Linked DNA regions of Stegostoma tigrinum. The protein of the gene in region 2 interacts with the protein of the main gene of each other region in a biochemical or structural test. Links are inferred from orthologs where the notes say so. Each region holds a gene or a part of one and is shown on either strand. Other genes may lie near its edges.

Region 1 (9,913 bases), on a different chromosome or scaffold from region 2:
GATGATATAACTCACTGCTGCCTTCTTGTAAATCAAGTGGCTGCAGTATTTTCAACAGTGGGCATATTTCACAAGGACCTGGTTGACTGTAACACATTTTGGGATAGTGTGAGAATGCAAAAGGTGCTATGTAAATGAAAGTTCTTCTCAACTTTAAAATATTTATTTCAAACATTCTATTTACCTTAGAATCCTTTATTACCCATTTGCTTCAATACATGTGCGCAAAATGCATTTCCTAGTGGATAACAATTTATTATAGGAGGATATTCAATGTTTCTTGAGTAAATATTGCATGGATGATCGCAGTAATGTTGCCAATGATGAGGAATAAGGAAACAATCTAGAAATTTTCTTTTTCTATTTTAATATTTTTCATATGGATAAATTGGGATTTAACAGCCTCTTGTTCCCAGTCTTTCAGAGCAGTACTTGTCTTAATTCATCAAAAGAAACCAAGATGAGAACCAAGTTCAAGTGATGTTTATGCTGTGGAATTGTGCCTTCCTGTGGTAGTCAGTGAGTATACTTGATATCAAACCAGGCAATGTCTAATATTCATTCAGCATATCCCTTCCAGTCTTGACTCATGCAACAGATTTGTAGTGCCAGGCATTGTGAAATGCCTCATTCATGGATTCACTACAGTGTGGAAGCAGGGCATTCAGCCCATCAAATCAACACTGAACCTCCAAAAGGACATCTCATCCAGACCCATTCCCCCTGCCCTGTAATCGCATATTTCCCATGGTCAATCCACCTAGCCTGCACATCTTTGGACTGTGACAGGAAACCAGAGCACCCGAAGGAAACCCACACAGATCTGAGTAGAACCTCACACAGAGTGCCACCTCGGGGTGGAATGGAACCCTGGTGCGTGGCACTGTGAAGCAGCAGTGCTAACCACAGAGCCACTGTCCTGCTCATTTTGTAGATACTTAACTAACAATGCCTTTGCTTATGCATTATCTAGTGATGCAGTGAAATATAATGAATGTAATGTCAACAATATTTAACAAAATTTAGAATGTAAGCCAAACTCATCAGTGAAGAGAGTCAGAGTAAGGCCTTAATACTATTGGTAGCAACTCTACTTTTTTGGTAAATTTTTGAGCACAAGAATCAGGAAAAGGTGCAGCATGTGCATCATCTTCTGAATGAGACCAAGGCTCTCTTTACACTCAGTGGATCAAAAAGATCCCTTGGCCCTATTTTTCAGGGAAGCAGCAGAGTTCTCCCTGATACCCTGGCTAGTATGTACCTTTCAATGAACATCACAATAACAGATTACCGGAACAGTATAATATTGCTTGCTGTGTATTGTGGGAGCTTGCTGTGTGGAAATTGACTGCCGCATTATCTACACCACATCATAGACAACACCTCAATAGTTTTTATTGGCTTTGAAGCACCTTGAGATTTTCTGCATTCAGGAAGAGCACAATGTTAAAACAAGTCTCTCTTTTATTCTACCTCACCTCCCACAACCCTGCAATCCTTTGATAGTTAGATCGTGAATGCAAAATGAAAAGATTACCAGTGCACAGCGCAAGGTTTGCTGGAACACAATGTACCATTGAGTGATATATTACCAGAACAATGAAACTGCGCTTATATTCTCTACCAGGATTAATGTTTAAACTCACTGTAAACTGAAAACATCCATCCTCTTGGGGCGCAATGTTTCATTGGAAGGTGCGACTTCAGCAGTTTCCTTGTAGGAGAGCAGAAGGGAGAGCCTGGTGTGGTATGATAGAAAAGACCCATATCCTTTGTGGTGTACCACACTCAATTCATGCGTCAGCTTTCTTCCAGTGTTTTCTTAGAATAGAACAATTGCTTTTTTTTTCTCTCCTTCTCATTTTTAACATGGGTATCGTGCTACAAGAGTTATGGATTTCCTTCTGAGAGAACTGCAAGGACTGATAAAGTGAAATATATGGGACGAGAACCACTTGTTATTTCCCCACAGCTGACCATTCGGGGTTTGTTAGCAGAGCGAGGGCAATAAATTTCAGCAGTGTTGTTGCAAAAGATGGAGAGAGCGGCGCCGGGAACGTTTGCAAAGACCGGGCTATGCAAATAGCCAGGAGAAAAGTGCACCAGAAACAATTTGCCCACAGACATGATTATTTATCTAACTTGCATGTGTCCAGGAGGCATTCTGTTTTTGCCTCATATCTCAAGGCTGACCAGAGTTCAATGCACAGGCAAGGGAAAAAGAGGAAGCCAAGCCAAAATAACAAAAACAAATTTATCTCAAGTACAAGCAGATTAAATAAGCTGATTTCCTTTCCAAATTTACGGCTTTATTATACACATATTTAAAAAGACTCTCCTCCTCATGTCTATTCAAGTTCTATTGAATACCTGTCTGGTTTGCATGTGGCAATTGCCCTTCTTTTGTTTTAGCCATCAATTGGACAGACCAATGGTGGTCTGGTGGTCTGCCTGCTTCAAGGTCTCTCCTCTTCTTACTCTTTCACCCGATGTGATGGGCTAAAAATGGCGTCTTAACTAATACCCTTAACTGTTCAGCAGCCTATGCCTCAGCTGCCTGCATTCTGTATCAGTGAAAAAGGATTATTTATACATTGCTCTTTATTACCTTATCTAACTCGTAAAAATTTCCTCAATAAGTTTTCCTGTGGCCACGGGTTGGAAACAAAACATGAAATAAAAGCAAACTGAATGCAGGAAGGTCCTTCTCATTATTTGGTGAATATTGTTTCCTCTGGCTGTTAACAGCACTGAGGAAACAGTTGTTTAGTGAGCCAAGGGAGCTGTTAGCAAGTTTACACTGGGACTGTGGCCATTCGACGGAGCTGAATGATGATGCAGGAATGCATAAATCATCCAACCACCATGAGTCGATGGTACAAATTTCTCGCTTAAGGTGCAGATTGTACTGAAAACAGTGACATGCTATGTACAATTGAGCAACAGTTTAGAAAGAGAGTTATCAATCTTTGTTTCAAGGGTGTTGCTCATGCATTTATCAGTCTCTCTCACTTCATTGTAGTCATTCTTTTTCAAAAACATTGAAAGAAAAGCAGCCTGATTCTGACGACTGTTAGTGACTCAAAATGACATAAGCTTCTGAACATATATCTCGTACTTCTGTTTCCTCACAGTCAAGGGTGACTAATTCTGTGTTTTCAAAACGACTTTACTAAAGACTCCAGTGTTTCTTCAGTCAGCCCTAAAGAGTACACACTTTCTTCAACGAATCCATCAGACAAGAGTCATATCATATTGTGAGAAAAGCTGCTCATGACAGACGTGTTTCAGTTTCTGAGCCACTTCTCTGTCCTCAGCAGAGTGTTTATTGAACTGGAGATAATTGCCAACTAAAATGAAATGCTTAAAAATAAACCTTTTTCTGCATCAGCTATGAACTCAGTAAGTACTCATCGTGCAGCCACAAAAGCAACAGCATCTTTCTTGTATCTAATGTTGGAGGACTATTTCTCAACATGCACCGGAGTGAATCATTTTAAACAGGGGTACTCACCTCGCATGAAGCACTGTTGATATGAAGGAAATGACTCGAATATGCTGTTCGAAGCCATGGTGTCCCGTGAAGCCGTCCTAACTGGTTGCACAGGTCTCCCACCTTTTCAAAGGAAAACCAACAGAATTTAAGAGTCGCACTCTCCACCGTACCGTTCATCTTTGGCAATTTCCTTTTACCTTATCACAGAGCTTCTGCAGTGCTGCAAACAACACGATAAGGTACTTTTTTGAGGTCTGAAATGTAAAAATAGTGGATTGGTTGTGGTTAGATGATGCTTACCACTGTACGAAATGCTTGGCACTCTGTGGTTTAAATCAGAATGAGTTGCTGTGTGCTGACCAATATCCCGGACCCACTGTTGTGTGACTGGTCTGCACCCAACTTGTGGTTCTGTGGTTGTTTATGAGGCCCAAAGAGTTTCACACAACCTAAATTACAAATTTAACTGTTCCCCTTTGATAATTCAACCTAATTGGCTGCCGTTGATCATGTGCCCCAAGTGATGTCGCTTTTTTTCTCATTGTAGCATGCCCTTCCCGCCCCACCTGCCCTCCCCTTAGCTCAGTCAGGAAATAGCAGAGGCTAGAGTTTGCAAAACTGACTCACAGTCCCTTTTTGCTTATTATGCAAATAGAACGATATGATCCTGTACAACAGAGCCTGTGTTGCTTTAAGAGTAATGGAGCTGTTTTAAACCATCAGTAATATTTCACTGCGGCTTTCAATTTTTGTACTGCTGAAAATAATACAGTTTTAAAGAAATGAATTCTATTGCTAATTTTTTATCATAGTTATCGAAAAGAAAAGAATTTCTCACTTGGAAGTGTTACGATAACATTATGATTTTGGTTTAATTATGTTCAGAGTGTGGTATACATTTTTGGCGGTACATTTGGTGCCTTTGCGATTATTTCTTCCCCTCAATCTTCGTAGAAGAATGAACAATTTTTCTAATATTATTGGAATATGGACATCTCCAATTCTAAATTTTAACTTTTAATAACCTTGAAGTGAAAATCCTAGGTGACATTTGCACGCTGCTCAATACTCCTACTGCATCCTGCCCAGATCTTGCTTGAAGTGTATGAGGGTGTCCATGAAATGAGGCAATCAGGACCGTCTCTAATGCCCGTCCACTGCTGAACTTTCTGCTGATGTTCAGCGCCTGTATGAAGAGTGGGCGCTGAAGCAACGGCATGGAGAGCTACCGACTTGGCACCTGTGGAATCAGCCCTCCCTGAGAGTAGGAAAACAAATAGGGGAAAAAGAAATTGAACTTTAAAACACTTAACCGGGAGCACTTATATATCAGATTGCTACTAATTGATGAAATCAGAGGCAATTTCCGAATAGGATACCTGATATCAAAAAAAGTACTTAGCTAAATAAAGTGATTCTGCAAGTTATAGAGAATTTAGGGACTCACCTTGTACTCAGTATCGCCAGTAACTGTCGCAGCACTTTTCACAAGGTCCTATTCCGAGCAGTTATTTCCTAAAAGAAATACATTAGTGCCTTTATGTTCTAATTGCAGTCCAAGGATTTGAAAGGCAAGTCAACGAATTTATTCTCCATTGGTAAGTGGCACATTATTCTATGTGTCGTCTGCTTATTACTGGCTTACGTTGCCTTTTTTTCGAGCGGACAATGCAAGTGATTGGGACTACTAATTGTTAGGTTGGAGTGTGCCTGGGTGTACAGCAGCTGGCTCACTGCAAGTATTCTGTGAACAAAGTTTTGAATTTCCTTTGCAGTTAACCACATTGCAATTTAACTGATCCATCTGCTGCTAACTTTTTCTTTGTGTGTTCCTACACATAGATGAAATTTACCAATTAAAAAAAAATTAAATCTTCAACCTCTGGTGACAAGCTGTATCTTTCAACAAAGAAATTGTAGTCCGTTAGTGTGATGGTGTGGATGTATGTCGGCAAATAACTTCACCATGTGTGAGAGATGTACATTATGAATTCTTCCTTGTACTTCCAGGCTATTATGCTTCGCGAAGCCTGGTGCTCATTTCCATGCAATTGGTGCCACAGTATTCAGAATCATTTGATGTTATATTCGAAAAAAATGAAAGCAAAGAGGGCGGAACAAAATAGGGGTGTTTGTCTCTCCTTTCTTCTTGAGTGATGTTCAGGCATAGCCATTGGCAAGGCTGTGTTAGTCAAAGAGCAAGATTCCACCCACCAACCCCCTCCCTTCCCTCATCCTATCGCTGTTAATTGTTCCCAGCCCAGCTCATGGCTCCTTTCCACAAGAGGATGCATCTACGGAGGTCTGCTGGCTCTTTGACATCAATCGATGTGTAGAGATGTTAAAAATGCACGTGGAAGCAATGTGAGGAAGCCAAGAACAGGAATCGAGCTCTGAAGAAGCTTTCCGAGTTAAATATCAGTCATTAACAGCCAAGCTGTGTGCAACCATTCAAATTTCTTTGGTCCTATCGATATATTTTAAGATATTCCAGAACAAGAGCAGCCTGCCCTCCACCATAGACCAGTGGGTCACAGGTATTCTATGGCTCATTATTACACCTTGAACACATTCTTTGCTTCATTAATACCCTGTTGATGAAATTCAACTGAGATAGGAGCTAAGGTTCTAGGATTGAAGTAAATGGCTCTGGGTCAGCATGGGAGAACAATCAATGTTTAATATGTATCCCTGTTAGAGGATGCAGCAATGGTGACGTCTGGAGAGGACAGAGAATTGATCTTGTCTGCCATGGTGTCTGAGCCCACTGGTATTCACTGATTGAAAATGAAGGGAAATTGGGTGAGATATTTCCACCCCTGGTGTACTGTATGCCTCAGAGCACTGCCATCTCTGAGCCTGTAAGCTCTTAGGTTCAAATATCACCACAAAATCTAAATAGACATGTATCTTTCAGAAGCGCCAAGTCCCCGTCTGCCTGTTCAGTTGATGTTTAAGGATCCCATGGATTAATTGAGTTGGAGCAGAAGTTTTCTCGTGTATGACCAGTATGTATCCCTTAAGCAACAGGGTTTTTAAAATGTTTACTTGATCAATTATTGTTTGTGTGAGCTTGCTGCATCCAAGTTTGTTTCCATGTTTTTTAACATGAGAACAAAGGACAAAACAGAAATGTACTTGAGTTCTAATGAAGGATTGCCAAACTCAAAATGTTACCTCTGTATTCTCTCTACAGATTCTACCGGATCTGCTGTGTTTCTCCAGCACTCTGTTTTTGTTTCAGATTTCCATCATCTGCACCTCTTTGTGTTTATCAAAAAAGTGTTTAGTTGGTTCTAAAGTGCTTTGAGTCAGCTTGTAGCTATACAAGGCTCTGTATAACTGATTACTAATGCGTGAAGCTACTCTAAAACAAAACTTAGCACCAGCAGGAGGGGCAAAATGCCATGAGAGTATGAAATAATCCTTTTTAGTTATGGGCTTAACCAGTTAGCCACACAAAATTAATTTTATCACCAGGAATTTTGAAATGTCAATTTTATTGCAACAGAAATGCAGGCTTTTTTTAAAATGAACTCCATTTGAGATGATGTCGAATTATGTTTGTTTGTAGGAGTTTTAGAAACCATTCACATTGACGTTAATTATATAGTTGAGTCTTAAATGCAGGAAGATGTAATAATAATATTGTGTACCTTATCCATTTAGTTGGAATCAGTACAGTAGATATGAACCAAAAAAGCTTTTGATATTTTCAACTACTATTTATTCATCAGTATTAATTACATTATTAAACTCTTTATTTGTTATACAGTCATGTCCTATGACGCTGATTGTATTTTTTTAGCCATTGCTGCCTACAAGAATTAGCAGGAATACATTTTCAGGCTTTAAGCTGAGTGGTTAGAGCCATAAGTTAGAGCTTGTAGTTATCTGAACATTATCCTTCAAAAGCTGAATCACTGAGGAAACCAAAATTTGACTTCAGTTTCAAATTCAGATTAGTAATCTTTTGGAGATACATCTTTGTGAAGTTTAGTGGAAAGTGAAATATCAGATGTATTTTCCCAAGGAGAATCAGATGAAAAGGTTGCACATGATTCTACATTGATTTTCTTTTTTGAGATCACAGTAATAATATGAATGATTTCAATCCATTTTTTTCAATCCCGCTCTCTGGTGTTGGCACACTTTGCAGGAACTGTGTTGTTCCAATTTCTAGTAACTAGGCGATTGTATGGCATGTACACCTCAAGGTTTGACAGAGTGTGCCAAGAGACTCTTAGACAGCTGATCGTAGTCTCACCTAACCTCCTACATTGGCTAATTCCTAGCCTAAACTAATGTGGAGCACTTCCCGGCAACCAGGGTGCTGATCAGCTAACACACAGAAGGCAAAATTCAAACTAGCCTTAACCCCAAAGCGGTTGGTGCAATAGGGTAGTAAGACAAGAGTTAACATAAAAACAAATACTGGGAATGCTTGAGATCTCAAATTTTAAAAAAAGTGATGGAAAGCCTCAGCAGGTCTTGCAACATTTGTAGAGAGAGACAGAAAAGCGGAGTTAATGTTTCAAGTCCAATATAATATATAAAATGTGAGTTAGCATCAGAAGTAGGCCATTTGCCCTCTCCAGCCTATTCTATCATCTAATAAGTTTTCTCCATATTCGCACCCACTCCTGATAATCTTCCACTTACCTGCTTGCCAAGAATCTATGCACCTCCTCCTTCAAACTATTCAGAGACATTGCTTCCACCACCTTTTCATAAAGCTAATCCTAAAACCTCCCAAATCTCGAAGAGAAAAATAAAACCCTCCCCTCAACTCTATCTTAAATCTGTGCTTCCTTTATCTTGAATCGCCTAATTCTAGATGCTCCTACAAGAAGAACATTCTTTCCATGTGCACCCTGTCATGACCCCTCAGGATCTTATATATTTCAGTAATGTCACCTTGTACTCTCCTGGAGAGCAAGGTAGGAATATGGGAACAGGAGTAGGTCACTTGGTCCCTCAAGACTGTACCGCCATTCAATGAGGTCATGCCTGATCGATGACCTAACTCCATATACACTCCTGTGACCCATATCTCTTAATAACTACATTCCAGTGGACACAATCCTAGTCTGTGCAACTTTCCTTCATAAGACAATTTGCCCATTCCAGTCTAGTATACATTTGTTGCATTTATATTCTCCCTTATATAAGGAAACCAGTGCTGTGCACAATGCTCTAGAAATGAGCTCACCAATTCCCAGTAAAACTAAAGCATAACTTCCCCACATTTGCATTCAGTACCCTTCACAATAAATGGTAACATTGGATTAACTTTCTGAATTACTTGTTGTATCTTCAAACTATATTTTGCTATCCATGCACTGGAATACCCAGATCCCACTGCATCTCAGAGCTTTGCAATCCCACCATTTTGATAATATGTTTTTTAAAAATTCTTCTTGATCCTGTACGAACCAAGGATAGGTAAAAATGGGATGGGTTGTCTACTGCTGAAAAGGGAAGGGAGGATTAAGAAGCCGAGGTATCATAGAACAAAATGCAAACTAGGTGGTAATGGTTATAGAGAACAGCAAAACATTCATCCAGGGGATAGAACAAAGAACTGTGGATGCTGGAGATCTGAAATGAAAACAAATTGGTGGCAAAGCTCAGCAGATCTGGCAGTGTCTGTGAGGAGAAAGTAGAGTTAACATTTCGAGTCTAGTGACTTCATCAGAAATGTTAGAAGCTAGGGAAAGGTGGTATTTATGCTGAATCTGACTTTAGGGTAGGGAGCAGGGAAGGCTACAGGTGAGTGGATAGGTGGAAATGGAGCCCTGATAGATAGAGATATAAAAGGGTAGGTAAAGAAGGAGATAATGGAAAGCAGAAAAGGTCAGAAGAAAAGCTGAATCAGTGACAATCAGAGCTAAGAGTAGGAGAGAGTGGGTGAGCTGTGCCGAAAGCAATCCATGTAAAGTGCTAGAACGCAGTGTGTAGCTGGATGAACACAGCATTCGAGGAGCAGGAAAGCTAACTTTTTGGGTCGGGATCTTTCTTCAGAAATGAACTCCTTCCTGCTCCTCGAAAGCTGCCTGGCCTGCTGTGCTCATCCAGCTACACACCGCCTTATGTCAAACTCCAGCATCAGCAGTTCTTACTATCTCTGTGCTAATGGACCTAGGAGTATGTGAGAATGGATGACTGAGCTGAAATCAATATATGTCATAACAGGACTGGGTGTGGGGATTGAATTTAAAAGAACAGAATCAGGTTCTAAAGTAATTGAACTCAATGTTGAGTCCTTGAGGCTGCAGGATCCCCAGGCGGAAAGTGAGATTTTTTTTTGAGCATGCGCTGAGTTTCACTGGAGCACTGAGCAGGCCCAAGTAAAAGATACTGGTGCAGGAACACAGTGATGTGTTGAAGTGGCAGGCAACTGGAAGCTTGGTGTCA
Region 2 (10,952 bases):
GGGCTGAAGGGCCTGTTCTGTGCTGTACTGTTCTAGGTTCTAGAAGAGGTTTATCTGGATTGGAGGGTATTATCTATAAAATGAGATGTTGAATGAATTTGCAGTGCTTTCAGTGGAGTGTCAGAGGCTGAGGGGCAACTTGATACAAGTATGTAAAGTTAATAAAGGTGTGGATAGTCAGCCTTTCCCCACCCAGGGTGGAAACGTCAAACACTAGGGGCATAACCTTAAAGATGAGGAGAAAAGTTTAAGGGAGATGCACAAGAGGCCAGGTGGTGGTATATGCCTGGAACACTGCCAGTGGGAGGTGGTAGAAGCAAAGATGATAGTGAAGTTGAAGCATTTACACAGACCTGTGCATAGACACAGGGATAGGGGTGACATTCAGGCAGATAGGACCTGTTCTAGAATGGCATGATGGGCTGCACTACACTGTTCAAACTTTCCGTGCAGGTAAATCCTAGACAAGTCAACTGGTCAGCACAGCAAGTAATGAGGAGAGCTAACAAAGTGTTATCGTTTGTGTTAAGGCAATTGAACATTCAAGGGGTGGCTCTGCTTCAAATGCCGTGCTGAAAAAGTGTTCTGTTCCCTTTGGCCTGACGATTGAACAGCCCAGTTAACAATAACCCTGCAGAGAGCAACAATTACTTTTGGCTTAAATCATTTTATTAATGTTAGCACAAGGCAAACACTTAATCTCATGGAAAATAGAAAAAATAAATATTTCTAGAAATAAATTAAACCGTTTTCATGGAAAACTGATGTCAATATTCAAGACCACTGAACACAATGAAGAGCAAGGTAATATTTTTAAAAATAAACTTTTACAATAAATTATTGTTGATATGTTATAGTCACACCATATCGCAGTAATATAGATACGACGAAACACCATCTGGAGAAGAGTCTAGCACCGTGTCTCTGGCTGAGTGAGTAACAGTGTGGAGCTTCAGCCCAGGGAGGAGGCCAGTCTCATGCATTTCCCAGGCTGATGCATGCAGCGCTGGGGAGCTGGCTGTGTCCATGTCCGTGTCCATGTCCCTCAGCTTCTTACAAGGCTAGCAGGGTAGGAGAGTTCAGAGAGTCGGAGGAATGGTCACTGCTAGCCCCGGGGCCGAGAGAGGAGCCACACGCCGCCAGCTCCGGGTAGCTGAAGGCGAAGGAAGACGAGTAGGAACCGCTCGGGGTGGCGGGCAGGACAGGGGTACACAGGGGCTCACAGTCGGCGGGCAGTGAGGAATACAGAGGCTCCCAGTCGGCTAGGTTGATCAAATCCACATCGGGGACTGAGCGGCCTGTGTCAATGCTGCCCAGTAAGTCCGCTCCCAGGTTATTGTCCAGGCCTGGGGCTGGGGCTGCTGCACGCTCCGGGTCCGCTCTCTCCATGCTGCTGCCGCCGGGGAGCCCCGGGGCCTCGGGCTCTGGGATGCGACATACCGGCCGGTGAGCCGCCAGGATAAACTCCAGCTTCTCTTTCTCCTTCAGCAGCTCCGCTACCTCCGTCTCCAGAACAGACTTCTCCCCTTCCAACTTCTCCGTCTCCTGCACGGGGTGGGGAACAAAAACAAACCCCCTACTGGTTAGTCAAAGGGCGGCTCACAGCAGAGAGACACCCCCCACAACAAGCCCTGCAACACCCCCTCCCAGAGACCTCAACATACTCAGCCCCTCCCCAGGCGGTGGGGCAGCTACAGTCAAAACCCGGTCCTGAGCCGGGTTGGGGGGTTGAGAGAGTGAACTTGGATAAGTGGGCGTCTGGGTCAGCACAGGCTCGATGGGCCGAACGGCCACTTTCCGCACCGTTGGGATTCTATGATTCGACTCCCCCCACCCCCATAACCGGCACTACCCCCCCCCCCCCACGGTCCCGGAGCCGCACTCACCGTCTGCAGGCTGTCGGTCAGCTCCCTCCTCCGGTTCCGGCATTTAGCTGCAGCCAGTTTGTTCCGCTCCCTCCGGACCTTGCGCTTCTCCTCATCCTCGGGGCTCAGCTGCAAAGTGGGGAGAGAGAGAGAGAGAGAGAGAGGGGGCGGGCGGTGAGACCCTGTTTCATAGACCGCAGCAAACATTATCCCCCACCGCTCCAGCCGAGCCTGCATCCCTCCGGATTGCCCCCCCCCCCCCACCCCCAGCTGAACGGCAGGTACAGTGCCCCCCCACGTCAGGGGCAGTACCACGCTTCCCGCCCCGCAAAGCCCCCTCCTTGGAGCCGGCCTCACCTGGTCAGTCTTGCCCCTGCGGCCGGGGCATTTGCTGCTGGCGGCCCGTGCCCTGTACGGGGCTCCGAGGCTGTACTCGTGCCTGGGCCGGGGGCTCAGGGTGGGCTGCACCATCCACTGCAGCTCGGGCCGGCGGCTCAGGGCCGTCAGACTGGGGGCGAGCTCGGAGCCAGGGTCCTGCAGAGAGAAAGAGAAACACATGAGACAGAGGCCGGGACACAGACAGACTTCACCCCCCCCCAGGGGGACAGAGAGAGAGAGACACACACACACCCCCCCCCCCCCCAAGGGCGACAGAGAGAGAGAGACACACACACACACCCCCCCCCCCCAAGGGCGACAGAGAGAGAGAGACACACACACACACCCCCCCCCCCCAAGGGGGACAGAGAGAGAGAGAGACACACACACACCCCCCCCCCCAAGGGGGACAGAGAGAGAGACACACACACACACACCCCCCCCCCCAAGGGGGACAGAGAGAGAGAGAGACACACACACACCCCCCCCCCCCCAAGGGGGACAGAGAGAGAGAGAGACACACACACACCCCCCCCCCCCAAGGGGGACAGAGAGAGAGAGACACACACACACCCCCCCCCCCCCCAAGGGGGACAGAGAGAGAGACACACACACACACACCCCCCCCCCCAAGGGGGACAGAGAGAGAGACACACACACACACACACCCCCCCCCCAAGGGGGACAGAGAGAGAGACACACACACACACCCCCCCCCCCAAGGGGGACAGAGAGAGAGACACACACACACACACCCCCCCCCCAAGGGGGACAGAGAGAGAGACACACACACACACACCCCCCCCCCAAGGGGGACAGAGAGAGAGACACACACACACACCCCCCCCCCCCCAAGGGGGACAGAGAGAGAGAGAGACACACACACACCCCCCCCCCCCCAAGGGGGACAGAGAGAGAGACACACACACACACACACACACACACACTCAGGCGCCCCCCCCCCCCGTGCGGGGATACCCCCCCTCCCCACCTCGGGGCCAAGATTGTTTTTGTGAATGGAGTTGACGTCACGGGGTTTATTAATAAAGCGGCGCTGATTGGTTCAGAGCGAGCGCATCACCAGCCCCAGACGTCACACTTTACGTGGATTCTCCCGGAACCAGAGAGAGCACAGCCCTCCCACCGCGGGACAAAATACATACCCCCCCCGATCCGTGTTTACCCCGCCAACCCCCCACCGATCCGTGTTTACCCCGCCAACCCCCCCCCCAGCGTCAGCGTCTACCCTACCCCGCCAACCCCCCCCCAGCGTCAGCGTCTACCCTACCCCGCCAACCCCCCCCCCCAGCGTCAGCCCTACCCCGCCAACCCCCCCCCCCAGCGTCAGCGTCTACCCTACCCCGCCAACCCCCCCCCCCAGCGTCAGCGTCTACCCTACCCCGCCAACCCCCCCCCCCAGCGTCAGCGTCTACCCTACCCCGCCAACCCCCCCCCCCAGCGTCAGCGTCTACCCTACCCCGCCAACCCCCCCCCCCAGCGTCAGCGTCTACCCTACCCCGCCAACCCCCCCCCCAGCGTCAGCGTCTACCCTACCCCGCCAACCCCCCCCCCCAGCGTCAGCGTCTACCCTACCCCGCCAACCCCCCCCCCCAGCGTCAGTGTCTACCCCGCTACCCCACCAACCCCCCAGCGTCAGTGTCTACCCCGCTACCCCACCAACCCCCCAGCGTCAGTGTCTACCCCGCTACCCCACCAACCCCCCAGCGTCAGTGTCTACCCCGCTACCCCACCAACCCCCCAGCGTCAGTGTCTACCCCGCTACCCCACCAACCCCCCAGCGTCAGTGTCTACCCCGCTACCCCACCAACCCCCCAGCGTCAGTGTCTACCCCGCTACCCCACCAACCCCCCAGCGTCAGTGTCTACCCCGCTACCCCACCAACCCCCCAGCGTCAGTGTCTACCCCGCTACCCCACCAACCCCCCAGCGTCAGTGTCTACCCCGCTACCCCACCAACCCCCCAGCGTCAGTGTCTACCCCGCTACCCCACCAACCCCCCAGCGTCAGTGTCTACCCCGCTACCCCACCAACCCCCCAGCGTCAGTGTCTACCCCGCTACCCCACCAACCCCCCAGCGTCAGTGTCTACCCCGCTACCCCACCAACCCCCCAGCGTCAGTGTCTACCCCGCTACCCCACCAACCCCCCAGCGTCAGTGTCTACCCCGCTACCCCACCAACCCCCCAGCGTCAGTGTTTACCCCGCCACCCCCACAGCGTCAACCCCACCAACCCCCCCGCCGTCAGTGTTCACCCCCCACCGTCAGTGTTCACCCCACCAACCCCCCCCAGCGTGGGTGTTTACCCCTCCAGTGTTTACCCCAGCACCCCCTGCCCCCCAGCATCAGTGTTTACCCCAGCCCCATCTAATCTCTCGGTCACTTACCGAGACGTGGGCCGGGCTGCCCAGGCTGGAGAAGGAGTCTGCGGGTGAGAAATAGAACGGATCGCCAATGGACGGCGAGTTGCTGCAGCGGGAAGCGGAGTCGTAGTCGGTGCTGAAAGCCTGGAACATTGTGCCGGGTCTCCGGGCTGCCTGTGTCCGCGCTATCTGCCTTTCCGTCCCGGTGCTGTTCGCTGTCTCTCTCCGGAGGGTTTGCTGTGTCAGGCTCGGACCCATCGCCTTTTATTGGATTTGCGGCGAATGACGCACCTGGACGGCTCCATCATGCATAGGTGAATAGGGGGGGCAGAGTCGTCCATGCAGACACTACAAACACTAGAGAGACAGGACAGAGAGGTTCCGGACGGTCAGAAGTAGCGGGAGTCTAAATCAGCTCCATTTCTCAGTCAACGGCCGCCTGAGCCTCGGGAACTGCCGGTTTCGCTTGGTCTTGTCAGTTCACCCAACCCACGCCGAATTGGTGCGGCCCAGCACCGGGAACCTACTGACGTAGATGCCCTTATTTGGAGTGAGGTCCGGAAAGCGGGATGCGCGGAGGGAGGGGGAGTGAGAGAGAGCCGGCGGCACAGCAAGATCCCAGGCTGCCAGCAGGGACACTGCAAAACAACAACAACAACAACCAGCTGGGCAGGAGCAGAAAGAAAACTGATGCCGCCTCTGTAGCTGGGAATTGCAGCCAGCCAGCATTCTGCCTCAGTGCCACATCTCTCTGTTTGTATGCCCTGTCCTCACATTTAACCCGGCTTCGTCACCCTGTCCCATCCGAATATTTATAACTTATTCTCAACTGCCTGTATGCAAAGTGTGAGAAATGCGCGGTGTAAGCTGCCTGCCTTGTACGGAACGATATCTTTGCTCCAGATCAGTTTTCATGCATCCACAGGATGTGGATGCCGCGAGCTTGGAGTAGGAGCTGCTGGCTTCTTGAATTGCTGCAGTCTGCGTGCTGTTGGTACATTCAGAATGCTGGGAGGGCATCCCAGGACTTTGACCCAGTGACAGTCAAGGAATGCCGATATATTTCCAAACCAGGATAATGTGCGGTTTGTGAAACCTTGCGATTCTCTCCGAGGGCTGGTAGTGTTGTCAAAGTAGGTATAAACACAGGGAGCTGTCCCTGCAGAAAAAAAAAAGCACTGTGCCTTATTTGAAATAACAACAGCATAAGTAAGGGTCAGGATAATAAAATGTGAGGCTGGATGAACACAGCAGGCCCAGCAGCATCTCAGGAGCACAAAAGCTGACGTTTCGGGCCTAGACCCTTCATCAGAGAGGATGAAGGGTCTAGGCCCGAAACGTCAGCTTTTGTGCTCCTGAGATGCTGCTTGGCCTGCTGTGTTCATCCAGCCTCACATTTTATTATCTTGGAATTCTCCAGCATCTGCAGTTCCCATTATCACAGCATAAGGGTCAGGTTTGCGCTCCTAAGATGCAGCTTGGCCGATTGTGTTCATCCAGCTCCACACTTTGTTATCCCTGTTGTCTATGCTTGACACCTCAACCAATTGAAGTCCAGAGGTCGAAGAATCAGCACACCTTTTCATGCAGTATAAATTATTTCCTCTGAAATTTGTTACTCTTGTCCCTGTCCTGATGTTCGAAAAAAGAAACTTTGACAGCATCTTTTATAGCAACATTCACACACAGGAATTATTCAGGCAGATGTCCAAAGCTTGGTCAGCGAGCATCATTTTGAGGACCATCTTAAAGGAGGATGGAGAGATGGTAACATTTAGGGATAGAATTCCAGACTTAATGTCCAGCTTTCTGAAGGCCCAATCACTGACTGAGGTTGTGTAAGTTCAGTTTTGAGATCTGCAGACATTGTGCAGCTGGAGGAGACTGTGAGGGCTGGATGGGGAGATGGATTTGAGAAGTCAAGGATGGATTTGAAAATAAAAATGCAAATAATTTTAAGATTGAACCTATGTTGAAGAAATATTCTTTGAAAATTAAACAACATTTTGATATATTTACAGTTCCTCGGATACTGAAGACGTCCATGCAGCAAAACATGGACAATATCAAGGCTGGGCTGTAAAGTGGAAAATAATATTCTCATCCAGGCAATGGCCAGAGAGAATACAACCATTGCTCCATGGCAGTCAATGGCAATGTCACCGCTGAATCCCCCATGAATGTGGGGCTACATTATAAAGGGTCAGGGAGAGACATGAATAACAGACAATAGGTGCAGGAGTAGGCCATTCAGCCCTTCAAGCCAGCGCCACCATTCATTATGATCATGGTTGATCATCCACAATCAATATCCTGTTCCTGCCTTATCCCCAAAACCCTTGATTCCACTATCTTTAAGAGCTCTGTCCATCTCTTTCTTAAAAGCATCCAGAGACTTTGGCCTCCACTGCCTTCTGGGGCAGAGCATTCCATATATCCACCACTCTCTGGGTGAAGAAGTTTTTCCTCAACTCTGTTCTAAATGGCCTACCCCTTATTTTTAAACTGTGTCCTCTGGTTCTGGACTCACACATCAGCGGAAACATGCATCCTGCCTCCAGAGTGTCCAATCCCTTAATAATCTTATATGTCTCAATCAGATCCCCTCTCATCCTTATAAGTTCAAGTGTATACAAGCCCAGTCGCTCCAATCTTTCAACATATGATAGCCCTGCCATTCCAGGAATTGACCTCGTGAACATACGCTGCACTCCCTCAATAGCAAGAATGTCCTTCCTCAAATTTGGAGACCAAAACTGCATACAATACTGCAGGTCAAGCACGATTTTCCCTTTGTAAATCCATGCTGACTCTGACCTATCCTGTTACTGCTATCCAAATGAGTCGTAATTTCATCTTTTATAATTGACTCCAGCATCTTTCCCACCACTGATGTCAGGCTAACCAGTTTATAATTCCCTGTTTTCTCTCTCCCTCCTTTCCTGAAAAGTGGGACAACATTAGCCACTCTCCAATCCCCAGGAACTGATCCTGAATCTCTTGAACATTGGAAAATGATTACCAACGCGTCCACAATTTCTAGAGTCACCTCCTTAAGTACCCTGGGATGCAGACCATCAGGTCCAGGGGACTTATCAGCCTTCAGAACAAACAGTCTGTCCAACACCATTTCCAGCCAAATATAAATTCCCTTCACTTCATCCATTACCCTAGGTCCTTCAGCCACTATTGTATCTGGGAGATTGCTTGTGTCTTCCTGAGTGAAGGCAGATCCAAAGTATCTATTCAGGTACAAACACAGAATGTAGAAGGAAAGCAGAAGAATGGTTCCAGGAATGAGAAACTTCACTGATAAGATAGATTGAAGAAATTGGGATTGTTAAGTTTTCAAAATCACAGGTAGAGTAGATAAGGAGAAGCTGTTGTCACCTGTAAAAGAAGAAAGCACAAAAGGGCACAGATTGCTGGATTCTGATGAAGTACCACAGGATTGGAAAACTGCCAGGTGACACTCACGATTCAAAAAGGGAGGGATGCAAAAAGCAGGTAACCATAGGCTGATTATCCTAACATCTATTGTTGGAAAACTAATGGTATCAATTATTTAGAAAGTAATAGCAGAACATTTGGTATTTGATGGTGTTAGGCAAGGACTCTAGAATTTTACCAACAACTGAGGTTAGGCTAATCAGCCTGACAAACCTGTTAGAATTCTTTGAAGAGGTAAGAAGTATGTTAGACCAGGGAAACCCAGTGGATGTTATCTATCTAGACTTCCAAAAGGCCTTTGATAAGGTGCCTCACAGGAGGCTGCTGAGCAAGGTGAGGGCCCATGGTGTTCAAGGTGAGCTACTGGCATGGATTGAGGGTTGGCTGTCTGACAGAAGGCAAAGAGTTGGGATAAAAGGTTTTTCGGAATGGCAACTGGTGACGAGTGGTGTCCCGCGGGATTCAGTATTGGGGCCGCAGCTGTTCGCCTTATATATTAATGATCTGGATGAAGGGTCTGGGGGCTTTCTGGCGAAGTTTGCCGATGATACGAAGATAGGTGGACAGGCAGGTAGCACTGAGGAGGTGGGGAAGTTGCAGAAAGATTTAGACGGTTTAGGAGAGTGGTCCAGGAAAGGCTGATGTGAATTCATTGTTGATTGGGGGTAGACGTCTGCAGGTAAAGGGATTGTTCGAAAATGGGAATCATTAAAAAATGAGGTAACAAGGGTCCAGAGACAGTATGTTCCTGTTAGGGTGAAGGGCAAGGCGGGTAGACGTAGGGAATGCTGGATGACTGGAGAAATTGAGTTTTTGGTCAAGAAAAATAAGGAAACATCAGGTATAGACAGCAGGGATCAAGTGAATCCCTAGAAGAATGTAAAGGCAGTAGGATATACTTAATAGGGAAATCAGGAGGGCAAAAAGGAAACATGAAATAGCTTTGGCAAATAGGGTTAAGGAGAATTCAAAAGAATTCTACAAATATATTGAGGACAAAAAGGTAATTAGTGACAGAATAGGGTCTCTTAAAGATCAGTAAGGTCACCTATGTGTGAAGTTGCAGGAGATGAGGAAAAGACTAAACAAGTATTCTGCATCTGTGTTTAGAGTGGAGAAGGATATAGAAGATAGAGAACTTGCAAAGTAAATAATGCAATCTTTAAAAAAATCCATATTACAGAGGAGGTGGTGCTGAATGTCTTAAAATGCATAAAGGTGGATAAATCCCAGGGACCTGACCAGGTGTACACTAAGTGAGGGAAAAGATTACTGGGCCCCTCGCTGAGATATTTGTATCATTGATAACCACAGGTAAGGTGCCAGAGAATGGAGGCTGGCTAACATGGATCCACTATTTAAGAAAGGTGGTAAGGGAAAGCCAGGGAACTATAGACCATTGAGCCTGGCATTAATGGTGGACAAGTTGTTGGAGGGAACCCTGAGGGACAGGATTTACACGTATTTGGAAAGGCAAGGACTGATTAGAGATAGTCAAAATGTTTTTGTGCATGGGAAATTGTGTCTCACTAGCTTGATTGAATTTTTTGAAGCAGTTACAAAGAGGATTGATGAGGGCAGAGCGATAGGTGTGATCTATATGGACTTCAATAAGGCATTCGAGAAGGTTCCTCGTGGTAGACTGGTTAGCAAGGTTAGATCACAGGGAGAATTAACTGTTTCAATACAGAACTGGCTCAAAGGTAGAAGACGGAGGGACGTGGTGGAGACTTGGTTTTCAGCCTGGAAGCTTGTGACTAGCGGTGTGTCACAAGGATCGGTGTTATGTCCACTGCTTTTTACCATTTATATAAATGTTCTGGATATGAACATAGGAAGTAGGGTTCGTACATTCGTAAATGACACTAAAATTGGCGGTGCAGTAGACAGCGAAGAAGGTTACCTCAGTGTATAATGGGATCTCCATCAGATGGGCCAATGGGCCGAGGAGTGACAGATGAAGTTTAATTTAGATAAATGTGAGGTGCTGCATTTTGGAAAGGGCAGGACTTACACACTTAATGGTAGGGTCCTGGAGAGTGTTACTGAACAAAGAGATCTTGAACTGCAGATTCATGGTTCCTTCAAAGAAAGAGTTGTAGGTAGATAGGATAGTGAGGGAGGTATGTGGTAGACTTGCCTTTATTGGTCAGTGCATTGAGTATTGGCATTGGGTGGTCATGTTGCTGCTGTACAGGATATTGATTAGGCCACTATTGGAATACTGTGGGCAATTCTGGTCTCCCTGCCATAGGAAGGATGTTGTGAAACTTGAAAGGGTTCAGAAAAGATTTACACAGAACAACACAGCGCAGAACAGGCCCTTCGGCCCTCGATGTTGCGCCGACCTGTGAACTAATCTATGCCCCTCCCCCTACACTATCCCATCATTATCCATATGCTTATCCAAGGACTGTTTAAATGCCCCTAATGTGGCTGAGTTAACTAAGCCACATAAAACACCTACGAGGATGTTGCCAAGTTTAAGCTGTCTGGAGAGGCTGAATAGGCTAGGGCTATTTTCCCTGGAGTATCAAAGTCTGAGGGGTAACTTTATAAAGGTTTATAAAATCATGAGGAGCATAGATAGAGTAAATAGACAGGGTCTTTTCCCCAGGGTGGGTAAGTCCAAAGCTAGGGGACATAGGCTGAAAGTGAGAAGGGAAAAACATAAAAGGGATCTAAGGGGCAAATTTTTCACACAGAGTTTGGTGCATATATGGAATGAACTGCCAGAGGATGTGGTGGAGGCTGGTACAATTGCGACATTTAAAAGGCATCTGGAGGGATATATGAATAGGAAGGGTTCAGAGAGATCTGGGCCAAATGCTGACAAGTGGAATGAGATTTATATGGGATATCTGGTTGAGTTGGAATTA
Region 3 (10,681 bases), on a different chromosome or scaffold from region 2:
AGACCTGATAAGGATGGCAGATTTATTTCCCTAAAGGGTGTTAGTGAACCAGATGGTTTATTTTGTGATAATAAGATAGTGTTATGGTCACTATGATGGAGACTAGCCGTATTTTAGAAAATCCTACACTAAGCAATTTAAATTCAACTGGCTACTGTGGTGGAATTTGAATCCATGTCATTAGCCTAGGTTATTAGCCTAAACATACTGCCATAGCACCAATCCTGGGAGCAGGGCAGTCATAGGTCAGACTATATTTTTTAATCCAGATAACTAGTACAAAACAGATTGCATGTTTACTCATTCATTTATTGTTTGTGTGACTTTGCTGACAGAAAATTACTTACTTAGGAATGGTTAAGTTCAAAAGTAATTATATGGTTCTTAAAAACACTTTAGGACATCGAGTGAGGGACCAGTGTCCAATGCAAATTCTGTAATCCAAGAATATAACAGTCTAAAACAAAAATATATTACATTTGTAATTCCTACATTATAAAGTGTCAATATCTCAAAAGTGCCTGTAAAACATCTTGGGATGCTCAGGGTCATGAAAGGTAAATAAACTGCAAGATTATCTTCTTTCTTACATTGATCGTTGGCTCTGCAGTGAACTGAAGAAGTTCACCTGGAATAGTACTGTTTTAAAATCTTTAAATTAACCACCTCAAAGGCACATAATTATTAATAATATCATTGCCAGAATATTTTTGTGAACCTGTTTAAATTTGACAAGGTCCTTGTTGATAGTTTAAGTTATCCATAATATCATTTAAAACCTGGTGAAGGCATTCATCCAAACAAAAGAACATTACTGACTTTGAAATGTAAATATATCTATGAAGATTGCATCTTTCTGTGTGACTACCCTACTCTTTAGAGTTAAGTGAATATCTGTTAATCATCTAAATATTTCAAAAAGTCTGTTATTTAATACTATGGAATGGCTGCACAATTTGTAAACTGCTTGGGGAGTATCAGAAAATTGAATGGATTATACGATCGAGCATCCTGTACCTTTCGAATGTTTATAAGGTAGATATGGAATTGTTAGTCATTTCCAATAGCAGTTAATGCAGTAATGCTTCAAGACAGGAAGAGGTGGGCGTTGTAAAGTGAGTCAATAAAACAGTCATCACTTTGCATCAATGCAGAACTTTGCATAAACCAATGAATGAATCAGAACAGACTGTTTCAAACTCTGTTACTCACAGTCATTTGCTGGATGTTAATATCTATGTTTGTTTAAAGGCCCATTGTTTTATAATTTCAAACCTTCTGTCTTCCTGTTTGACCTTTTCTTAAATTTCTGTTGTTGAAACGTTTTTGATTTTATGAGAGAGTTGCATTAACTTTCCTCAAATTTTCATTTAGCAAATATCTGCAAATGACTATCCAACTGACCTAATGTTGATTGTCCACTTTCCTATTTTTGTACTGGATCTTTTTTATTCTACTGCCAGTTAAGTTGTCTATGTTGGTCTGCTGTCTAAGATCAGTTAATAGGTAACTCAGGTTCTAAGTGACTGAATAGTTTGAATGCTTGTTTCCCTGTCCTTACACTGACTGGATCTGTTGGTGGTGGCTCAATGTAGAGTAGAATGCTCAATGTTCAGTAGAAATGGGCATCAATTAACGATCTTATCTCTTCCCCCCTCTCCTCTTGAACTGAATCTCACTAGACAAGTCTCGACTTAAAACCTCTTTTGTAGCTCTTCCTGCCTTTGGCACACTCGGAGCTGGAAACAAGCCGTCTGCTTCAAAGCAAACCAAGGGTTTGTTCCACGAAGATCATAAGAAAAAAAGGGTCAAGTCTGTTTGGACATAATTACACTTCATCAAAAGAAGCTTTCTTCATCTTCCATGCGTGAAAAGCCTGCAAGCAGTTAGCCTTTTTTTGAAAGGAAAAAAAAAGCTTTTTGGGAATGGAGCCAAGAGAAAAGCAAAACAGTAAAACTGGGTACACCACTCCTTTGTGATTTCTTTGAACTTTTTAAACAACTTTTTCAGGTATATGCAGTTTATGTGTTTGCATTGTGCATTGACTTTGGTTAATACGTTTCTTTTTACAGAAAACAAGAGACGTGGCACTCAATGTGAGTTTTAGAAACCCCCTTTTTTTCTCCCTTTTCATAAGGATTAATTTTAGAAAAGTGTTGGCGTGTAAGAGAAATCCTTCCGGCTATTAACTATATGTCTCTTTCAAGCGAAAAGAGAAAGCTGATCCAGTAAGGATTAACGTGGAATAAAAACTGTCAATTCGCTAATTTCTGAATTTCTGAAGAGGGTGATGTTTACAAAGATGTTGAACCTCAGAACGCAGATACATTTCAGCAATGGGCATCTGGAAAAAATGTCCTTGCAATTTTGTCCAGATTTTTCAGCTCATCTGACTAAACAATGTTTCCTTGTTGAAAGACGAGACGACAGTAAAATTAGCCGTCGAACACGGGAAAGGGACGGAGACAAAAAAAGCAGGAGAGCGAGGTTCCAAAATTTCGAGAAGTTGATACGATAAACAGGTGGAAAAGAACTTGACAAAAAAACAGCAGAAATAGGTGGAGTGCCAGGCAGATACATAGACCCTACAACCATTCTTTAAAATCGGATGCAGTTAACTTCTTTGAACAATAATTTCTATACCAGCATATATGCAGGATGGTGTCACGTTCCCGTGCCTCGGAAATACCACTTGGACCACACACGCAAGCACACACACATCATTACTTATAATGTGCAAACGCGGATAAATTATCCGGGAATTTAAACCAGGTAAATTACTGTACCCCTTCCACTTCGGCCCACGAAGCGCAAGTCATTGAAACGAGCCACTTGGTTCTTCATTACTGCCGAGGCGTTGCGGAGTTCGGCGGAATAATTCTCGTCATTGCCGGCCATAACGGTGACCACAGTGCCGTCAGGAACATCCCCCAAGGCTACCACCTGTCAGAGGGGAAAGCACAGCGTCAATACACTGGGTTCGCTACCGCCCATGGCGAACGACCTGGTTGTCTCCAAGAACAGTCGCTTTGCTTAAGCAACACATTTAAGCATTTGCTAAAGAACTCTCATAAAGGTGGATATTGTCCAGTCATTTTACAGATGGTACAGTTGTTCCATCTCCCCTTATACGTTGAAAGCTAAACAAAAAGACATTGACTTAGCTCTGTGAAAAATTTTATTGTGAAGATTAAAACAAAAAGTCGATATGGTTTGCAGGAAAATATGCGAACTGTCCCAGCTGTACCATTCAATCCCCATGACTGTTTATCATTACAGTAAACCCTTATTTAGGCGTATAGGGAATTAGTTTGAAGCGTACATTCTGCTCTTTGTAAAGGAGCTGGAGTGACCGGGTGTACTACCAAGTTGCTATTAGTTAAGTTACTTTGTTTGTTGTTGGACATATTTATGTAACAATCACTAAAAGCTAAAAATTCAAGAAATGATCCACGTACTGTCCTCTGACATAGGTTTGTCTGTACTGTGTGCCATAATGTAACAGCAGAGAAATGCTGCATATTCACCGTTTTGTCGTCTAACTCTGTCTAAGTACAAACTATAGAAAGATATAACTAAAATGCTATAAATTCTAAAAAAATTACCATAAATACGCACTAAAAGCGGCAAAAAAATTTACATTCACTCCAATGTGCCGAAAATCCATATCTTCACTTTTTTACCGCTTGGTTTTGTTTCCAGTACTTTATTCCTACTCTGGACGAACTCTTAAAATAAACTTTTTTTTTACCTTGAATGCCACGGGCAGCGTTTTATTACACCTCCAGTGGGATGGTAGGACAGAGCAGAGGAAGTTAGGGCTGTCAGTCCGGACCAGCTCTGCTGGATGATCGGCAATGATATCCACCATGGTTCGGTTCTCATGGGGCCGGATCAGAGACCTGCCGAGCGCTGCCGCCGCTGCTGCCCCGGCTGTTCCCACTCCGGGCCCGGGCTCCTGGTGAGGGACCATCCCGCTCACATCGCTCATCTTTCCCGATGCTGGTAATGTGGTGGACGGTGGAGTAAAACGCCGGCTCGTAGTGGGATCTACGGGAATACGCATCACAACACTTTGATTAGGGGCTTACAGTAGCCACAAATAGTCAATCTGTCCAATTAATGCCAGCTATTGTCACTCAATCCAGTCCAGTTTCTTTATTTTGTTTCGTTTTTTCTCCTTTTAAATAAAGAAGTTTTTTTTCAGGAAGGCCACTTATTCCTCCTGCAACTATTAATATATTCCAAATGTATGTCTTTGGGGAGAAAATTTCTAATCCAACTTGTGGTCAAGGCGATCAAGAGGGGGGAAAGCCACAGTTTCCAACTGGTGGTTTCACGGAGGTTGGGATTATAAAGCAAGTTTGTGGTCATGAAAAAAGTGAGCGATGATGAGACATCAAAGAGCACGTGGTGGCTGTAGGAGTCATACACGAATTTAAAAAACACTGTATTCCCTTGTAAGACGAGAGGCCGAGACGATCTCGCTGGTATTTTCCAAATCCGATTCTCGTCCCAAATATATACATGAAAGTATATTTTGATCCTCGCTGCTGGGGAAATAATTTTCAGGGAACGGCTGTAGATTGCACACTAAAACATATCTTTGAATGAATGAGTTATAAAGCATGCCCCCCCCCCCCCGCCAAGAGTAAGGCTTTGCTAAAAAAAATGCACTATGAAAATCATTTACATATCCAATCGTAAAAAGTGCAAACGCCTACTTGTTATGATCCGAGCCTATCAAAGCCCTCAGATGGTTTCTTCATAGCTTATTTCCTCAAAAAGTGTTAGGAGGCAGCCGACTTCCAGTTTCTGTTGTGGTTTTGCTTAGGTCTTAAAGTTCTGCGACTGAGTTCATTTCGATATGTGTTCAAATGTTTGCACAACACTGTAAATCGCTTCTAAATGCTACACGCAGCCTGCGCAACAGTGCCACTGTGGGTTAATTTTATTGAAATTATTTACGAAACATGAATGAGAGGACGAGAGCGCATTGGGCTTGGAACGAATCGAATCTCAGCCTGTTAACTGATTGCTGTAAATTAGCGGTAAACCCAACGATAACTTTCAAACGCACAAAAGCTACTTGAATTTGAGTGAGGAAGCAATTATTTAGCCAGTCAGTAATCTGGCACCGGCATCGCTCTTGTTAAACCAACTTCAAACGACGTGCTTTTCAGAAGTATTCATCAAAGGGACATGATATATGACATGCAACGTTATGTCAAAATGTTATATTCGATACACTCATTACACGGATTGACTAATAAGGCTTTGGCTTCTCTCCAGATAACTATGTACGAAATTCAATCATAATAATCTGCAACGTTACATTTAGCGATTAGCAAAGCTAAACAGGGCATATGTCAGAGACTGCACAATGAAGAGCGATGACTGCTGAACACGACTGCTACACGATCCCGTTTATTGTAGTTGAAAAGAATCTTCAATAAAATTACATGCTTTTTTTTGCATTTGGTAAACTTTTTTCCCAGTCCGAAAGGAGCCCTGGTCAAGGCGTGGGTACGTTTTCTTTAAATATATAGTGTTAAACTATTTAGGTAACTTTAATTGCCTCAATAGAGTATGTGCTGAGGGAACAACTGGATTATAAACACACCGTGGGATGGATGGTTAGCAGTCAGTTGATGTTGCAAAACTGCCAACGCACCATACCAACACGCTACACCAGAGCTCACAAATCCTAACGAAAACCCCCCGCTGACTCCCATTTGTTTCGGATTTCCACGCACGCGTCTTGAAGTGCCACGCACGCTTTGACTGACATGGCGAACATCCACTGAGCGATGGAACAGCGCCTAGGCAACCGCGAATCATAGGCGGACGGATAACCAATCAGCGCCAATGAGGGGCAGGCAGCGCTCGCGCTAACCCCTCTTGTAAATCCATCTCGGCGCCGCTGGAAGTTGTAGTTCCTATTCCACGGAGACAGGAACCACGGACTACAACTTTTCAGCGTGCGCCTCGAACTGCGACTGCGTGGATGTGAGTGGGCCGGAAGTCTTGGTTTTACGCGCGAGGAGTTGTCAGTGGACTGGAGGAGAGAAACAAACAGAGATCAGTGAGACAGTTTACAAGGCCAATTCCTTCTGGTGCTGGCTAATTGTTTACTTATTGGGGATTTGCTCACTAAAACAAAAGTGAGTAGAATATTTGGGGCAGCTTTTGTGCCACAGGCCCGCATTTTCAATTTGATATCTTTTAGCAGGATCCTGCATCCCTTAATCTAGTTTGTACGTTTCTCGTTAAGTGACACAGGGCAGACTTGAGGTAGAAGGGGAAAGAGGACGGGATGAGTTTGTCGCCGCACGGCGGCTGAAAACATTTTGGTTTTAAAGTGGGTGGTGCGTTCCGTTTCCGCTGCCTAATCCTCACACGTGTAGCCTAACCGACCCAACCGTGTGGCCAGTATCATCTACAGACCGCCCCCCGCTTCGTTAGTGTGGCTAACATATTCTCCTCTCTCCCTCTCTTCCCTGGTCCCCTTTTCTCCCCCCAGCATCTTATCTACTTTTCCCTTCGTCGCATGCACCCACTGCTGCCCAGTACAGCCGGTTCTTCCGTGCCAACCATCTTCCAGTGAACGGTTGGTATTTTCAATCCCACCCCACGCCCACCAGGACAGCGAGTGGCTCCAAACCACCGACTCCGAGTGCGGCCCATAGCCCCTCCCCTCCCGAATGCCCTCAGAGCGAGTGAACAGTATCTTCATCATCCAGTACACCGAACATCCCACCACCAACCAACTTCTCATCTCTCGGAGCTGCTAGCAGATCCCCCCACCTTACCGTGTCTCATTGTGGCTAGTGTTCACTCCCCTCGCTCTCTACACCCAGGGATGTGCAGGCCAGGTGGATTAGCTATGGTAGTTGGGGGTGGGGTGGGGTGGTTTTGGTGATAGACTGGGATGTCCTTTGGAGACTTGGTGCAAACTCGATGTGTCGAATTGCCTCTTTCTGCATCACAGGGATTCTATGATTTTAACTCAACTTAACCATTTCCCATCGCAGCCAGTACCTCTCACATGAATCTCCACCTTTGTTGCCATTATTCTCCCAGTGCAGCTAACATCCTCCTGGAACCACCCCTTAGCGCAGCGATTATCCACCCTCTGCCTCTCTTCAACACTCTGCCCCAGAAGGCAGTGGAGGCCAAGTCTCTGGGTACTTTCAAGAAAGAGCTCTTAAAGATAGTGGAATCAAGGGTTATGGGGATAAGGCAGGAACAGGATACTGATTGTGGATGATCAGCCATGATCATAATGAATGGTGGTGCTGACTTGAAGGGCCGAATGGCCTACTTCTGCACCTATTGTCTATTGTTTAACACCTTGTACCACATTCTAGTTGCTGCCAGAACTCTGCCATGCCTTTCTTGTGGCCAGTGTCCTTGCCTTACCTTCCAGCTCAGCTAACAGTGACTGGACTCACATGATGCAAAACATATTGCTCATTTTTAATTATTTCTCCTTTTGCTTTAGGATCTCCTATTCCAAGCATCTCTGTGGTGAGGTAAGTACGGTAACCTGCCTCAGATTAGTGCTTATATATAAGTAGCATCTAATAGGAACTGTAAAATTCCCTGACACCACTTGATAATAATAGGTGGAGGGATGGGGTAGGGGAAATAAAAAAAGCCATGCTTGTTATCACTAGTATTATTGAATATTTACATACTGAGTTTCTACCAGCGAACAAAGATTGTGGATATGGACTGGCAATAGGCATTTGATAACATTAGAACAACATTAGATGGTGGGCAGATAAATGATAGATTAAATTTAATACAGAGAAATTTGAAGTGATTCATTCTTCCTACAGAAATGATGTGAGACAGTACAGACTAAAGGATACAACTGCAAACAGGGCACAGGAACAGAGAGACCTAGGGGTATGTATGCACAAGTCTTATGGGTAAAAGGGCAGGTTGAGGAAATAGTTAATGAAACGTGGGGTGTGGGCTTTACATATAAAAAATACAAAAATAAACAAATAACCTCTGTAAAACACTGGTTTGGACCTTAACTATATTATTATCTCCAACATTAGCCACCATGCATTAGGTGTCATTAGAGGGATGTAGGAAAGACTTGTAAGAATAATTGCAAGGACTTGGAACTTCAGAGTTGGTAGATTGGGGAATCTGTTCAATCTCATTGGACAAGAAAAGATTGAAGATACCTGATAGTGGCTTTGAAAATTGCGAGGGGTCTGGATAGAATAAATAAAGGAAAATATGTTCCCAGCTTTTCCAGTAACTTCTGTTTTTGTTCCTGATTTACAGCATCCGCAGCTCTTTCCGTTTTTACAAAATAGGCAGACGTGACATGAAATATACCACAGAAATATCAATTAGTTTTGATGAGGATTGAATAGAAACAATATAAATTAAACAATGTAATTTTAGAGAGGATACATGAATGTAGGAGCCTTGGAATGCATTACACAAGTCTTTGATGTTAGAGTAAGTTGAGAAAGTTACTCAAAAGCTGCACATGGTCCTGACCGTTATTGATACATAGTATACAAAAGCAAGGATGTTATGACTCTTTAAAAAATACTGTGCACAGCCTCAACTGGAGAATTATGCTTTATTTTTGGTACGAGACTTTAGATTGGATGTTAAACTCCTAGGCTGTGGAGATGAGTGAATAGGATGTTAGCAGGGATGACAAACTTGACTACTGTGTCATGATTACAGGACTTGGGATGTTCTCATTAGAACAGAGAAAGCTAAGAGGACAATGAATGAGATGTTCAAAATCATGGACACTGTTGATCTAAGTAACAAACCAGTTGGATTTATCAAAGTTTTCCTGGCTGCAGGTAAAGCTGGGGCATAGCGAGACTACGTGAGTTGCTGTTGCAGAAAATTGGCACAGAAATGACAGGCTGAGCTGTAACCATTCTATGATAGAGTAAATAAGGCAAATAGTTTCAGAGCCTACAGACTTAAAATAACTTGTGAAAGAGGCAGTAGTGACGTGAAGGAGAAAATGTGGCAGGTAATGATCTTGAATGTACTCGCTGAAAGGAAGGTTGAAGAATATTCTCCATTCATTTTGAAGAGTTTTGAAGAAATGGTTGTGGGGGAAAAATGCAGAAATTGCGGCTGAGTGAGACTGTTTGGATAACGGTCAAAAATATCCCATGTATTCTGTATCATTTTATGAATGCTAATTGAAACTAGCTTTACAACTGTGCTTCTCCTGAAAAAACAGCACACTTGAGGACTTAAAAGAGGAAGATAATGCCTAACCAAACTTCACAATATTTAAGTGACATCCCACTTGGACTATGGAGGTAAGAAACAACACCCCCCATCCCCCAATTGCAATGTAGCTAGATTTTCAAAAGACATTGGACAATATCCCCTGTGAATATATATCAGTTGAACTAGAAAGTGTTGATGATAAATCAGATGAAGTGTAGACAGCAGTTGGACCTGCTATATTTTTATTAGGGGGGTTGGTGCATTTTCTCCAAGGATTTCATGCTGAGGCCACCACCATTTCTCATTTGCATAAATAGTTCTGATTTCTTAACTCAAAGCAAAATGGTTGTTTTTCTCTGTGCCTGTACACGATATTGGTTAGGCCACCTTTTGAATATTGAGTTCGATTCTGGTCTCCTGCCATAGGAAATATGTTGTTGGACTTGAAAGGGTGTTATCGGGTTTGAAAGGTTTGGGCTATAGGGAGAGACTGAATAGGCTGGGGCTATTTTCTCTGGACCATTGGAGGTTGAGGGGTGACCTTATAGGGAATTATAAAATCAATAGGGGCATAGATAGGGTGAGGAGTAGCCAAGGTTGTTTTCCCAGGGTAGGGGAGTCCAAAACTAGAGAGCATAGGTTTAAGGTGAGAGGGGGAAGATTTAAAAGGGATCTAAGGGGCAACTTTTTCACACAGGGTATTGCATGAATGGAATGAGCTGTCGGAGAAAGTGGTGGAGGCGGTACAGTTACAACATTTAAAAGGCATCTGGATGGGCACATAAATAGGAAGGGTTTAGAGGGCTGTGGGCCAAATGCTAGCAAGTGGAACTAGGTTAATCTAGGATATATGGTTGGTACGGATGAGTTGGACTGAAGGGTCTGTTTCCAAGATGTACAACTCTGATTCTCTGACTCTAAGGGCAATGGAATTGAAGGAAGCATTCAAAAGTAAAAGTTGGCAAAATGCACACGTAGATGAGGGACATTGAATGTAGACGGGAGTGTAATGTTGTGGAAAAAATTCTAATAATTTATTGTTCAGAAATGTTATTACATATCCTTGGAATGGGTGGGACTTGAACCTGGTTCTCAATTTAGAAAGAACATTCATTTTGTAGAGGCAGTTTTTTTTACAATAGTATGGGAAGATGCTTGTATTTTAGATTGAACTGTAGAATTAGGACAAGGAGGGAATAGGGTTAAACTATCAAAGTAACTTGTATTATCACAAAGTTCTTGATGTGGAGAGTGCTAGATAATTGAAACGGATTTCCAGATGTATTAATTGGAAGTGAAAATCTTGGATACATTACATAATTATTCCTGTATTGTTTAATTTTCTTCCTCATCTTTGATTCTGTTTCAAAGAAAAATGGGAGATAAACATGTTAAGAAGTATGAAAACGCTCGCAAAGGAAATAGAGATTTTGAGTACATGTGA

What was found.
Region 1: the proteins of protein c-Fos-like (region 2) and runx1 form a complex in vitro, tested with the Homo sapiens proteins (2 studies listed by BioGRID). The link is inferred for Stegostoma tigrinum from reciprocal best matches to the Homo sapiens genes FOS and RUNX1.
Region 3: the proteins of protein c-Fos-like (region 2) and runx2a form a complex in vitro, tested with the Homo sapiens proteins (2 studies listed by BioGRID). The link is inferred for Stegostoma tigrinum from reciprocal best matches to the Homo sapiens genes FOS and RUNX2.

The regions. Positions count from the first base shown.
Region 1 is NC_081365.1:22,189,538-22,199,450, forward strand, and holds the start of runx1 (runt-related transcription factor 1), read right to left. Parts: upstream 3,958-9,913; 5' UTR 3,797-3,957; intron 3,617-3,796; 5' UTR 3,573-3,616; coding exon 3,515-3,572; intron 1-3,514.
Region 2 is NC_081363.1:1,204,216-1,215,167, forward strand, and holds protein c-Fos-like, read right to left. Parts: upstream 4,849-10,952; 5' UTR 4,777-4,848; coding exon 4,648-4,776; intron 2,400-4,647; coding exon 2,223-2,399; intron 1,995-2,222; coding exon 1,887-1,994; intron 1,546-1,886; coding exon 1,054-1,545; 3' UTR 652-1,053; downstream 1-651. UniProt on the Homo sapiens protein: Nuclear phosphoprotein which forms a tight but non-covalently linked complex with the JUN/AP-1 transcription factor. In the heterodimer, FOS and JUN/AP-1 basic regions each seems to interact with symmetrical DNA half sites.
Region 3 is NC_081357.1:75,381,311-75,391,991, forward strand, and holds the start of runx2a (RUNX family transcription factor 2a), read right to left. Parts: upstream 4,540-10,681; 5' UTR 4,067-4,539; coding exon 3,752-4,066; intron 2,944-3,751; coding exon 2,787-2,943; intron 1-2,786. Other genes in the region: supt3h (transcription initiation protein SPT3 homolog), read left to right, coding at 9,274-9,326. UniProt on the Homo sapiens protein: Transcription factor involved in osteoblastic differentiation and skeletal morphogenesis. Essential for the maturation of osteoblasts and both intramembranous and endochondral ossification.